3 linked regions of the Drosophila melanogaster genome follow. The protein of the gene in region 1 purifies or fractionates together with the protein of each later gene. This does not show direct contact. Each region holds a gene or a part of one and is shown on either strand. Other genes may lie near its edges.

Region 1 (5,084 bases):
CCAAAGCAGTTCTGCTTCGATGGCGATCTCCTCACGAAAGGAAACACTTTTGTGGCCCTTCTCTTGTACACCAGCTTAGCGAAGGAAAGGTTAGCTACTGAAAACAAAAATGATATATCTATTTACTAATTCTAACCCTTAGATCACATCCAATGCGGAATCATCCGCTGACCTTGCTAGCTGCTCCAAAAATGGCAAAGGATGATGCATTAGCCGGTGTTTTCTTCTGGCTGGTCGGTTGTCCATCGCGTGCCAAACTTCTTGCCAAGCTCACAGTCTACGATCCATTCGATCAAATTGGACGGAGTATGATCATAAGACCACGTGATTTATCTGAGAACCAAGATCCTCAAGAATTTGTAGTCAATTCGAAAGATCATTTGCTTATCAGCGTTCCACATAAGCAAAGGACTTTTCAAATAACTGTGGTCATAGATGAACCGCAAACTTAGTTATAAAGGATATCTATTTACTTAAAACTAAAATCTATAGACGTAAATTTTCATTTTTAATCCCTTTGATACCACGAGTTTAATTTTAAAGACAAATTGTATGTTGTATATTTTTTAATAAAACGTTCGAGCAAGAACTAAAAAACGCTCAAATATCTCTCACATCAGATCAGAATTGCCTAGCTTTATTTATATAATAGTTAATTGCGTGTTACACTACTAATTTCATTAAGTTGTTAGTTTGCTTTAATTACATGTAGAGTAAATATTCATGCACATAGAAACGTATGCGCTCACATCTACGTACGTACTCGCTATGATTATTATCAATTGCAATCGTTTCTTGCACCTGCCTAGTGCGTTCCACTGTATACATTTACAAACATAGGAATACAAATAGGTAAAATATAGGTAGTTTGTTTAACGGCTTAAGAACTTTTGCGAAAAAAAGATGTCCAACTGCATGGTGCATAACCAAATGTCTTTGTCTCACATAATATTCCGTTTAAAAATATTGTGTTTCATATGCAAGCCTACATCCAACAATAAAAAATATTGCAAAACCTCAAACCTAAGCTCAATTTAAAGCAGATTAGGAAATCTTCAATAAAGAATAACGACACCGATCGCATTTCTTGTGGGACAATAATTCGCTGTACTTGGAATCGTGTGTGTTTGCTGATGTACTTGATGTGTGATTCTTGTTCTATGTCTTATCAATTAGCTAGATGTGGATCATTAAATAATAATATATATATATATTGTGGTTTCTTCATATTAGTTGCCAGCAACGTTTTGGACTTCACTTGAACTGATTATCTCGTAATCTTTACTCGAGCTCTCCGAATCCGATCCCGAGTTGCGTGGCGTTCTGAAAGCAAAGCAAATAAGTCGGAAATTACTAAAATGCATTCATCAAAAGTAAATGTAGGACTGTAAGTACAATGAATATCAAATGAATGGGATGCAAAACTTACTCTGCTTTGATGCGATAACTTGCGATAACTTTGGAATACCTCAAGTATCACCAGAAAACAAAAACCAGCAACCAATAAAATGAGCCACCACAAATCACGAAACAAATGTATTTACAAATAACATGCTTCGTAAACGAAATAAAAATGTTATGAAACGCAAACCAAGAATCGGATTAATGCATTTTAATTATACAATAATATTTATTAAGGAACAAAGGATTTACAATTAAAAGCTAAAGTTAATGTATGTCTTTTGCGCTATTCAATATGATTTAGTGTATGAAAAACATACAACCAAAAGTTCGACGGAAATAAAAGAAATTATAAATACAAATTCGAGCAATAAAGCAGGAATCCTGGTCATTACTGAGCGGTTCCGTCTTACCCAGCTTTGGAATCCTTGGGCTGCGCCTTCGTTTCTTCTTCATCCACATCGTCTTCCTCGTAGTCATCGGCACCCACTTTGCGACGTTTGCGGATCTCCATGTCGGTGTCATGTTCTTTGATGAGCTCGATTTTCTCTGGTTCAAGCGTGGAAACCTCAGCATCCACATCACCGTCAGCGTCTCCATCCGCATCCACGGCTGTGTCCTCGGCATCGCTTTCTTTTTCCTTCTTCTTGTCCTTCGATTTCGATTTCTTGTCGGTCTTGGCGGACGAATTATTTGGGTCACTGTTATAGTTGCTCTAGAGATGAAGGTAATTTAGTAAACTAACATAAATGGATAATTCGAAACAAACCTCATATAGTGGCCAGAAGGAGGCGAAGAAGCTCACATCCTCAGTCAGGTTGGGGAAGATCCAGAAGTGCAACTTGCCGCCGGTTAATGCCCACACGATGATGAACACAATTAGACGTACAATTGTCAGAGCCAGGATGAAAACAAGGAAGCCGGCAGCCGCAATGGACAAGTAGTAGACACCCTTGCGTAGCAGTGGAGGCCACAGAGGGAATAGGCAAATGCCAACGGCGCCAAGTAGCAGGATGAAGCCGAATATCCAGTAGTGGAGCGGTATGGGATCGTAGATCCAGACGTATGCCTCGGAGCCGTCCACGAAGATCTGCTCAGGATGCATGTCCAGGCGGATCTTGCGCTTTTTCTTCTCCTTTTTCTCCTTCTCTTTTTCGTTGCCAGACGCACCTCCGTCTCCTTGGCCATTATCGCCTTCCGGATCGGTATCCTTCTTCTCATCCTTTGCCTTGTCCTTTTCCTTATCTTGGGTCTTCTCCTTGTCCGCCTTCTTGTCGCCTCCAGACTTTCCTCTGATCTCCTCCAGAGTGACGGGCACCTTCTTGGCGCGATGGAAGAACTTGTGCTCCAGCATCACGTCTAGAAACTCGATTACCTGCTCCCGGGTGGTGAAAAGCGGATTGCTGCCTTCGGTGAATTTGGACTTTAGCAGAGCATCGATGGCCTTGCTGGAGGTGAAGTATTCGACGATGTGGCTCAGGAATTTGGTCTTCTTCGTCTTAACGTTCTTCTTCAGCCACTTGGCCACGTTCTTCTCGTCCTTTGACGGCTTGTCTACCTTCTGGGCACCCGGTTCGGTGTATTCCTATAAGAGGAAAAAAGAGAAAAAGGTCCGAAAACCAGGTCAGAAACTCACTTTCACGATCGATTGGTTAAATGGGGGGACTACAAGCGAATATAGGCCACGACACCAATTTTGTATTCGTCACCCTCAAGCCGTTGAGATGGCTTTATTATACGTGGGTTTTATTTTTTCCTAAGTACCGTGCCATCGTCGTAAATATCCTGCTCCTGCTCCTCTTCTTCCTCCTCCTGGAAGTACTCCTCCTCTCCACTCATTACGAGAATTAATATGCGTAACTTAAAAACTGCGAACTATATAAATAGAAACAACTATTCCAGAAGCGGTTGTAGTTTTTCTTAGCCGTGACGTGTTGCATTCGCTCTGAGAGTCTAGAAAGTATTGAATCAAACGAGCTGGTGATCACCACAACAAACAAACACATGGATACTAAACAGGGGAGCAGTTGGAAAATATGCAAGGGGGTTTGAAGCTGTATTGATACTCATAGCTGTTTAACGATTGAAATGATATTAGTGATAATTTCCCATGTATGTGTGGAGCCAATGATTAACAAAACCCTCTTAAGCGCCGCCTCTGCCCAACTTACACGCGTACTCAAACTTTCCCCAACAACAACACGAATAACCACAATAACAACAACCAGAGCAGCTGATAAGTGGGCCTGCACCTGACATGTGTGGGTAATGAGCGAGAGGGAGAGCTGGAGAGAGCGAGCCAGCGAATGAGCGAGATCGGCTTACAAGACGGACTTACGGCGTTGCCAGATAGGCAAAAGCTTGTAAGCTCAGCTGTTTGTATTGTAGACCCCAAAACTTAATTGACTGAAAAATAAAAAAGAAAAGGTAGAACTCAAATTCCAGATACAGCTAAATACGCAGCGAAGACATTTTCCATAAAGCTAATTATAGACCTTTTGCGGGCGGGGGGCATCCCACGGGGGTTTCTCCAAAGAGCAGCGCAACCTGCACTGAACTTGCCCCCCACAAATAATATTAAAATATTGAATGACCCATCTGAACTCGCAATTCAGCGTTTTGTTTCTTTTCGAGTCAATTTTACTTTTTTTCTGCATGCACACGTTTTTTTTCTCCTTTTTTATCAAAACAAAAAACAAACACTTTCGGCATGTCAATTGGACTGTGGCACCCACACACGCGCAGCCCCTTTAGAAGGATCTAATTGGAAACAGTTAGCACTTACATCCTTGCGGCGACGGGCTCGCTTCTTTTCCGACATTTTCTAGCAAGTGTGACGATCTGCGGGCTCAAAATTGATTCTTTCAATAATTTTGATAATAATTCTGCCACACACGCACCACATAAACATCCACGATAGGGATGGAACAAAAGTCGATGTTCACGCGATGCTATCGATGTTTCCAGCAACTCCGTGAAGCGATTATTTCCTATCGCTGGAACCACTAAAAATGGGAACTAGTTGTTTTTGAATTATTTTAATGTTTCATATTCATAGGTTAAAAGGATCATTTAGCAACAAAAAAATATGAAATCAATATTTTTAGAAGGTATTGAATTTTCTTAACTAATTTTATGATTATACAAATAATAAAATTGTGTCGCGAAGAAAACCTCCCATTTCCTTTACGGTAATAAAAAACAATACAAAATAAGTAAAAATATACCTTTCATACTAATCGAAAAGGTTAACCAAGTTGTATATAACTTTAATATTATGAAATTCTCCCAAAACACACATTTCTTTAATGTATGTCAATTTAAATAAAGTTTAAATTGCACTTACATTTTAATACTGTATTATCCAAAATATATATGAACCATATCAAGCAAAACGTGAATATTGCAATGCGAACTCAATTTAATTTCCTTACATCCTCTATTAAAATTATCTTTTTATTAATCTTTGTTTTACAACAAAATACAGACTAAATAATAAGTAAAATATATTATTTATTATATATTCTTATTATTATTATTAATAGCGACCCACGCAAAGGGTTCGATCAAAGTTTACTCTATTTTGTTTTCTTCCGGTTGTTGTGTAGTTTACGTTTTCGTATCGTTTGCGTATCGGTTGTGGTGCGTTCTGTACCGTTTTTTCCGTTTTAGGTTGTGTCTCG
Region 2 (4,052 bases), on another chromosome or scaffold:
TTGACTAATGGAACCCAAGGAGCGCCAGGTGTAAAGTAAACAAATAGAAAACCTCGCAGTTTATGAGGGCGATAATGGAATCAATGTTGTGAAAGGGCTTGGGAGGATTTGAAATTAGAAAGTTGCCCCAATTGTGTATTTTCAGATGCATTACTTTGCATGAATGTGAATAGAATGTTCTTTATTAATACGCCTAGGAATTTAATGGGTTTGTTATAGAAGAACCTTTTCAGTCATATGGTTTAATAGCTACAATACCATCTGGAGCAATTTGGCGACAAGGGCCACTTCCAACTCCTACCACTTTTGCCAGATTGTCGCCTATGCAGCGCCCTAATAAGCCAATCATAATAAATGTCAAGCATTGATTTGGCTTCTTGCCAATGACCAATCGACCATCGCCCACTCTTTCCCAACCTATTCCATCCCATCCCCACCTCACCACTTCCATCGGACTGTCAGTTCATCATTAGCAGCTGGGGGAGACTTTGTCTAGGGCTAATCATTAATGCTTAGCTGCCTGAATTGCTCATACGCCATGTGTGCAGGGAACATAGCATGTGGCTGAGCGGCAAAAACTATTAATTTATGGGCTTGTCGCATGTTGCCAAACACCTGACACGAATCGTCAGTCAAAATGATTAAGAGAACTGCCCTATCCCAAAAAAAAGCACAGGGGCAATATCTCGATCAAAAGATCTTTAAAGCAAGCACAAGATAAACTTTTTTTTATTACTATGATAGAAATAAACGCCGTTTAACAATTATGATCTTATAATCTCAACATATTGGCTGCTTGTTGAATTACATTTAAATCTATATCTATATTATCTGTATCATTTATAGTGATGTTGTCTAACTTTAAACTAAAGAATAACGATCACTAAAACGCTCATTCATCTATAAGCAAGATATTCCTAAATACCTATAAAAATAATAGAACTTGCTTAAATAACTAATCCAGTTCCCAAAACCAGTCTTGCTATATTTAAATACAACTGAATTATGCGCTTTCAAATAAAGAAAATAACCATCAAGCTAATGATTTGAAATCCTTTTCCAATCCTCTTAGAGCTATTATCCCCGCAATTAAAAACCGATAAAGGCAATCATCAATTTAGATGATTTGTGACTAGCGTGTGCCGCTTTATTAGATCGTAACAACAAACAGATTTGTTAACCAGTTTTTGTACATTTGTTTTGAGAACCTTGCAAAGCGGTTCTAATGCAAAACAACTTCAATAACGCCCCACATTATGCACTGTGTAACAATGGCAATAACAATAACAATTCAGATAGCATTAACACTCAGTTGGCCCATTGTTTGCGTTTTTGGGGGCTCGAAACTGGAATCAAGTTTAGTACGACTTGGCAACCGATTTTCGAACTCACTAGACTTGACTTCATGAATATTTAGCTGAATTCTGACATGGGCCGAACTTTTGCATAACGAACACATAGTTATCTGTATCTTCATGTAACGAGCTTAAGGAAGTGAAATTTCGAACGCAGAACTTGCAAAGCGCCGCTCAGATACGAAGTAAACAGATTGGAGGCCCGACCCGCATTACAATATTGCAATTCATTCCGCTCGAGATTGCATTAATTAAGTAATCCACCTGTTCTAGTAAACAAATCCATGCAGGTTTAGCTTAAATATGCGATCAATAACCAGCTAGCTAAGATATTCCGATAATATGGCATTCGAAATAAACAAAATACTAGTTTGGCTTATATTTAAATTAGTACAGGATTTTCACCTGATCCACCTACCTGAGCGCCCTATAAAAAGCCTCCGACTGGCTGAGCTCAGGCCATAATCAATTTGAAGATCGTGTAAGATCGACGGAACGAAGAAATCTATATCGCGTGCGAGGAGAGGATTTGCATAAATTGAGTCTGAGTGATAATGGTAAATGAGACGATGGGACATGTGGTGGCTATGTGGTTATGTAACAGCCCTTTAGTGCGAATTAAATGGACTTTAAAGAGTTCTCAAACAGGATTTATAACAAATACTGTCTAACAAAAGCGGATAAACCAATGATAATTATACAGACTTTCTAAGGATCCATTTCAAGGTGATCTAATTCTAATGACTTCTATTATTTCTTTTTAACTACCAACAGACCAGCTATACTGACAAAGGAACCAAAGTAAGTTCGAAAGCGTATGCCAATATTGGAGCGTATAATGCCAACCTACTTTCTTCACTACTTTCAGCCTGAAGCCGGCAAATTTCTAAGCTTTGATCACTTAACCTTCTACGTTGGCAACGCCAAGCAGGCGGCCAGCTACTATACCACTCGACTGGGCTTCGAACCACTTGGCTATCAGGGATTAGAGACCGGGGAGCGACGCTTCGCCAAGCATGCCGTCCGCCAGAACAAGATCGTCTTTGTGTTCGTCTCCGCCTACACGCCGGATGACGAGGAGCATGGACTCCACCTGATGCGCCACGGCGACGGTGTCAAGGATGTAGCCTTCGAAGTGGAGGATTTGAATGCCATTTTCACACTGGCCGTGTCCCGTGGGGCCGAAGTGGTCCGCGACATCTGGGAGGAGAGCGATGATCAGGGATTCGTGAGATTCGCTACCATCAAGACGGTAAGTCCGTGGATTTCATTCTGGAATATTTAAGGATTAATCCTTAACTTGAATGCAGTACGGCGACACTACCCACACTTTCGTGGAGCGCAATGGGTACGCTGGAGATTTCCTGCCTGGATTCCAGCGGTCGCCCAAAGATGTCCTTCTAAACGGATTGCCCTCCACCAAGCTGAACTTCATTGATCACGTGGTGGGCAACCAGCCGGATCTGCAGATGGAGAGCGTGGCCTCCTGGTACGAGAGAATCCTGCAGTTCCACCGCTTCTGGTCCGTGGATGACTCGCAGATTCACACGGAATACTCCGCCCTGCGGTCCATCGTGATGGCAAACTACGAGGAGACGGTGAAGATGCCGATCAATGAGCCAGCCAATGGGAAAAAGAAGTCACAGATCCAGGAGTACGTGGAGTACTACGGCGGCGGTGGTGTCCAGCACATTGCTCTTAATACGGATGACATTATCGAGGCGGTGAGCAACCTAAAGGCTCGAGGAACCGAGTTCCTGACCATCCCATCCTCGTACTACGAGATCCTTCAGGAGCAGCTCTCGCACAGCCGCACCAAGATCAAGGAGGACATGGAGGTCTTGAAGAAGTTGAACATTTTGATTGACTTCGACGAGAACGGATATCTGCTGCAGATCTTCACAAAGAACTGCCAGGATAGACCGACCCTCTTCCTGGAAGTTATCCAACGCTACAATCACAATGTAAGATTTATTGCTTAACCTACTGTTGCTAAGAACAAGTAAATCATGATCATTACTATTTCAGGGATTTGGCGCTGGCAACTTTAAGTCCTTGTTCACGGCCATTGAAATTGAACAAGCCAAGCGAGGAAACTTGTGAATCAAATGTGATCAAATTGAGAACTAACAAAATCAATAATAAATGAAATGGTCTAAACTGAAAAACTATTTGTAAATTGATTGCCTAAATGTCATTTGTTTTATCTCTGGTCCCAAAACCGAGTGTCTATCAACACTTCGTTGCGTGGATCGCCTTCTGCGAAGGAAACCATGTGTGGATTCCAGAATCCCGGCGGAGTTGAACTGCGAGCGTCTTCATGCCGGCACTTTGCCAAATAATCTTTGATCTTCTCGTCTGTCAGATTTGAACCCATAAAATTGATGAACTAAGTGGATCGAATTTGAAATAAATATTATTTAGTTGTGGATGGTCGAGAAAATTGTACATACCTTTTCGCACTCGACGCACTCAATGTTAAAACGTTCTTTGACCGTCGCCTCAGGTTCCTCCTTGATCAAAATCGGTCGCGGAAACTCCTCCTCCGAATGCCTACTATCCTCTTCTTTGATATCCATAAGATACTTTTCAATATCCTCGGGCAGTTTTGTTGATTCGTTGCCTAAGTCTGTTTCTGGCTGGGATATAGGTTCCATTTTCACGACTTTGGTAATTGGAATGACGCTCTCAACTTTT
Region 3 (3,533 bases), on another chromosome or scaffold:
GACATTAGTGCCTTTGGTATAACACTATGTTTCAATGTCGTGTTACCGGGAAAGGAGATTAGCCGTGACTATATGCAATCATTACGGACGTAGTCCACGTAGTGAAAAAGAATGTGCCACGGGGACCACAATATGTATAGGAATCAATGATAATCTGTTTTTTCTATAATAATAATTTGTGCTAAACAACTTTATTTAAAAAACATAACGGCATTTTTAATTCTATGCATGCTTAGATAACGTTTTTTGTACCGACAAAACTGTACAGGCCATAAAATTCCCCTTACTTATGGTATTTAATAGTCGTAAAAACAAAAAACAAAAAAGAATGCTGTAGTCGAGTTCCCCGACTATCAGATACCCGTTACTCAGATCAATTCACCACTTTTCTGGTATTTCGATAGATATTGGAGAATAAACTGAGGAAAAATTTAATAAATTTAACAAGGCAAAAAGCTGCGTCTATGTACATGATCTCAACTCTCTAGCCTCTATAGTTCCTGAGATCTCGACGTTCATATGGCCGAGTCGATCTGGCCATGTCTGTCTGTTCTATAAAAGCTGGATGGATTAGATCAAACACCCACAAATCGCCAAAAGCTGCCACACTGTTCAAAATTGTAAATAACATATTTTTAATTTTTTCCTGCCAATTTCGATGGGTTTTTGGCATGTTGTTTTGCCTCCACTTTAACGCTAACAAACCGCCCAAAAAATGTTGCGATTACTCGTTCGCACTCCCTCTAGCTGAGTAACGGGCAATTTATTTCATTTCGTCAAATGAAAACTTGATTTTTGGAATGTTTTCGATTGAAACTTAAAAACATCGACTCGCCTAATTAACGCTCAACTGCCGACCAAAATTCGCTTTACCACACTTTATAAGAATATTTATATTACTCGTAGAGTTAAAGGGTATACTAGATTCGTTGAAAATTATGTAACAGGCAGATCCAACCATATAAAGTATATATATTCTCGATGAGGATCAATAGCCGAGTCGATCTGGCCATGAACGTCTGTCCGTTATTTCCATTACCGTTATTGCCCATTATTTCCAATTACCGTTGTGCAAGTAGAAAACAATTGAACTAGCAAGTAAAAGCATTACCCATAACAATAGTATTGTTAGCATGATTCCAGGTTGGATTCAAGCCATGAAGTGCTATATTTCTGAAGAACTGAGCATATTTTCACAAATATCTTTGAGCTTATTGGTTTTTCTGCATTTTTGAAAAGACTTGTTTAATAACAAATTCATTTATACAACATCTGCGACAAAGCGAATTTTATATGCAGATAGATCGCTTCCCACAATTTTGGTCATGAATGTGTATAAATTGGGTTTCCGTCCATAAAACTTACTTTCTTCATATTATCCCAGTTTTGTCAATCGAACCGCTTTACCTATTAATATTTTGCATATAAATATATTCAGCGTTGACAATGGGGATCTCAAGCGATTATTTAAATTTGAACGCAGCGTTGGTCGCCAAGTTAGATAAGATCCCGGACTGTTCAAGCAGTGCATCTGCGCACACGGATCTGTGATTTGGCAACCGCCAATGTGAAACGTTACATATTCGAAGTTGTGAAGTCTATAATAGATTCATACGATTTATGGTAGTGCCTAATAATTTTTTCATTTATTGGGAAAACGATGCCAGCCTGGACAGATATAAAAACATAGCAATGGGAAGGCAGGGCATCATTCGACCCTAGCAGCTCAGACAGTTCAAAGTGAAAATGAAGCAGTTCGTTGTTCTAATGGTAAGCAACTGGCACATGAGCGATCCCCGCAACAACTAACACTTAATGTGCTCTTGCAGTGCCTGGTGGCCCTCACAGCAACAGCTCCTCAGGGATACAAGTACCAACCTCAGCTGCCAGCCCTTCCCATTGGCAATCTTCGTCCTCTGACACCCATTTCGTCAAGTGGAATATACGCAAGTGGCGCCGTCCCATCTTTCCCACAGGCCGGTGCTCAGCCCGCGATCGGTGTCCAGCCAGCCATTCAAGCCGTGCAGACCATCGTTGCCGCTCCTGCTCCCGCCCCCGCTCCCGCTCCTTTGTCGATCTCACTCCCAAAGGAGACTTTCCTTACTGCTTCGCCCCAGCAAAACCTGATCAGCACTGTGCAGCAGCAGCCTCAGCAAATCGTGTACCAGCAGCAACCGCAGCAAGCCCTTCAGACCCAGTTCGTCCAGCGCCCCGCTATCGTTACCAAGGACATTTACATCCACTCCGCCCCCGAGGAGAATGAGGAACTGCGGCAGGACGAGCCACTTCTGGAGAATGTGCCCATCCGCAAGAACTACCGGATCGTCTTCATTAAAGCGCCTTCCCAGAATCTGAAATATACCGCCGCGGCCCTGAAGCGGGCCCAGTCAAGCAACGAGGAAAAGACCGTCATCTACGTGCTCTCTAAAAAGCCCGATCTCACTGAGATCCAGCAGCAGCTGCAGGTTACCCAGTCTGAGGCCAAGGTTCAAAAGCCGGAGGTCTACTTCATTAAGTACAAGACCCAGGAAGAGGCCCAGCGCGCCCAGCAGGAAATCCAGGCCCAGTACGACGCCTTGGGAGGTGCAACCCACATTTCGGACGAGGGAGTGGCTCCCATCGCCAGCGTTTCGAGTGGCTCCCTTAACCTGGGCAGCTTTGTGCCCCAGCACTCCCAAGCTGGCCAAACCATCATCCACTCTCAGGCGCCAACCATTATCCAGCCACAGGGTCAGCCCATTGTTCAGCTGCAGTCTATTAACCAGGGGGTCCAGGGGGTCCAGCAGCAGAGCTCCTTTGTGCAGAAGTCCACCTCCTCATTCGCTCCCTCGGCGCCATCAAGGAAGTATGTGCCGGCAAAGACTTTTTAAAAAGTTGTAGTAAGAATCCTATCGCTTTCATTGTTTTATATCAACCATCATACTGTAGTAAATTTTAATTTATTTTTAATGCAAAAGTCGAAAGTCGAAAGAAATATAAAAAAATTTAAATCGAAACCCAAAAAGCCTTCTGTTTCTAGTACTCGTTTTTAAGTTTAATCCTTTTAATATTTTAGATAGGTTTTGTTTTAGGATTTGGAATTAATCTTTCATTTAAGGCATAGCTTGAGTTTAATGTTTCTTATGAAAACGCTGTTTATTTTTATCACAAAAATGTTTCAATGGGCTAAGAGACTATGACAATGACTTCTTTCTCGCAAGAAAGTTTGGACCATCTCTTTTGGCATTAAGCCAACAGCCATAATAATCAAGTTTTCGTGTGGCTTAATCGTTGTTATGTAAGTCAAATCACATGCTAATTTATGCGACCGGTTTTCGGCTTGGATGGCTGTCATTGGACTAATGGATGTGGTAACATGGTCCATAGAAAACTATTTTGTTACTTTGAAGTATTGAAACTCGATTTCATATTTGAATATGGCTGCAGAGTCGCTTTCTATCATAAGGCGGAGCTCAAAATATGAACTTTATTTAACTAAATGTGTAAATTACAAGAGTTCAAGTCTTAAAATTACGACAGTGGCCTTGGAGTTG

Evidence for each region. Proteins that work in one complex are often made in the same cells at the same time.
Region 2: the proteins of Trp1 (region 1) and Hpd purify together in Drosophila melanogaster (affinity purification with mass spectrometry, with the first as the bait; one large-scale study listed by BioGRID). This does not show direct contact.
Region 3: the proteins of Trp1 (region 1) and TwdlF purify together in Drosophila melanogaster (affinity purification with mass spectrometry, with the first as the bait; one large-scale study listed by BioGRID). This does not show direct contact.

What each region holds. Positions count from the first base shown.
Region 1 is NT_033779.5:10,008,639-10,013,722, reverse strand, and holds Trp1 (translocation protein 1), read right to left. Parts: upstream 3,370-5,084; 5' UTR 3,241-3,369; coding exon 3,166-3,240; intron 2,987-3,165; coding exon 2,171-2,986; intron 2,117-2,170; coding exon 1,815-2,116; coding exon of another isoform or gene 1,811-1,814; exon of another isoform or gene 1,605-1,810; intron 1,324-1,604; coding exon 1,230-1,323; 3' UTR 553-1,229; downstream 1-552. Other genes in the region: CG13131 (uncharacterized protein), read left to right, coding at 1-89, 143-452.
Region 2 is NT_037436.4:20,437,632-20,441,683, reverse strand, and holds Hpd (4-hydroxyphenylpyruvate dioxygenase), read left to right. Parts: upstream 1-1,811; 5' UTR 1,812-1,909; coding exon 1,910-1,912; exon of another isoform or gene 1,913-2,129; coding exon 2,130-2,156; intron 2,157-2,223; coding exon 2,224-2,607; intron 2,608-2,665; coding exon 2,666-3,319; exon of another isoform or gene 3,320-3,383; coding exon 3,384-3,458; 3' UTR 3,459-3,518; downstream 3,519-4,052. Other genes in the region: CtIP (CTBP-interacting protein), read right to left, coding at 3,559-3,744, 3,809-4,052.
Region 3 is NT_033777.3:4,245,315-4,248,847, forward strand, and holds TwdlF (TweedleF), read left to right. Parts: upstream 1-1,705; 5' UTR 1,706-1,746; coding exon 1,747-1,770; intron 1,771-1,829; coding exon 1,830-2,870; 3' UTR 2,871-2,999; downstream 3,000-3,533.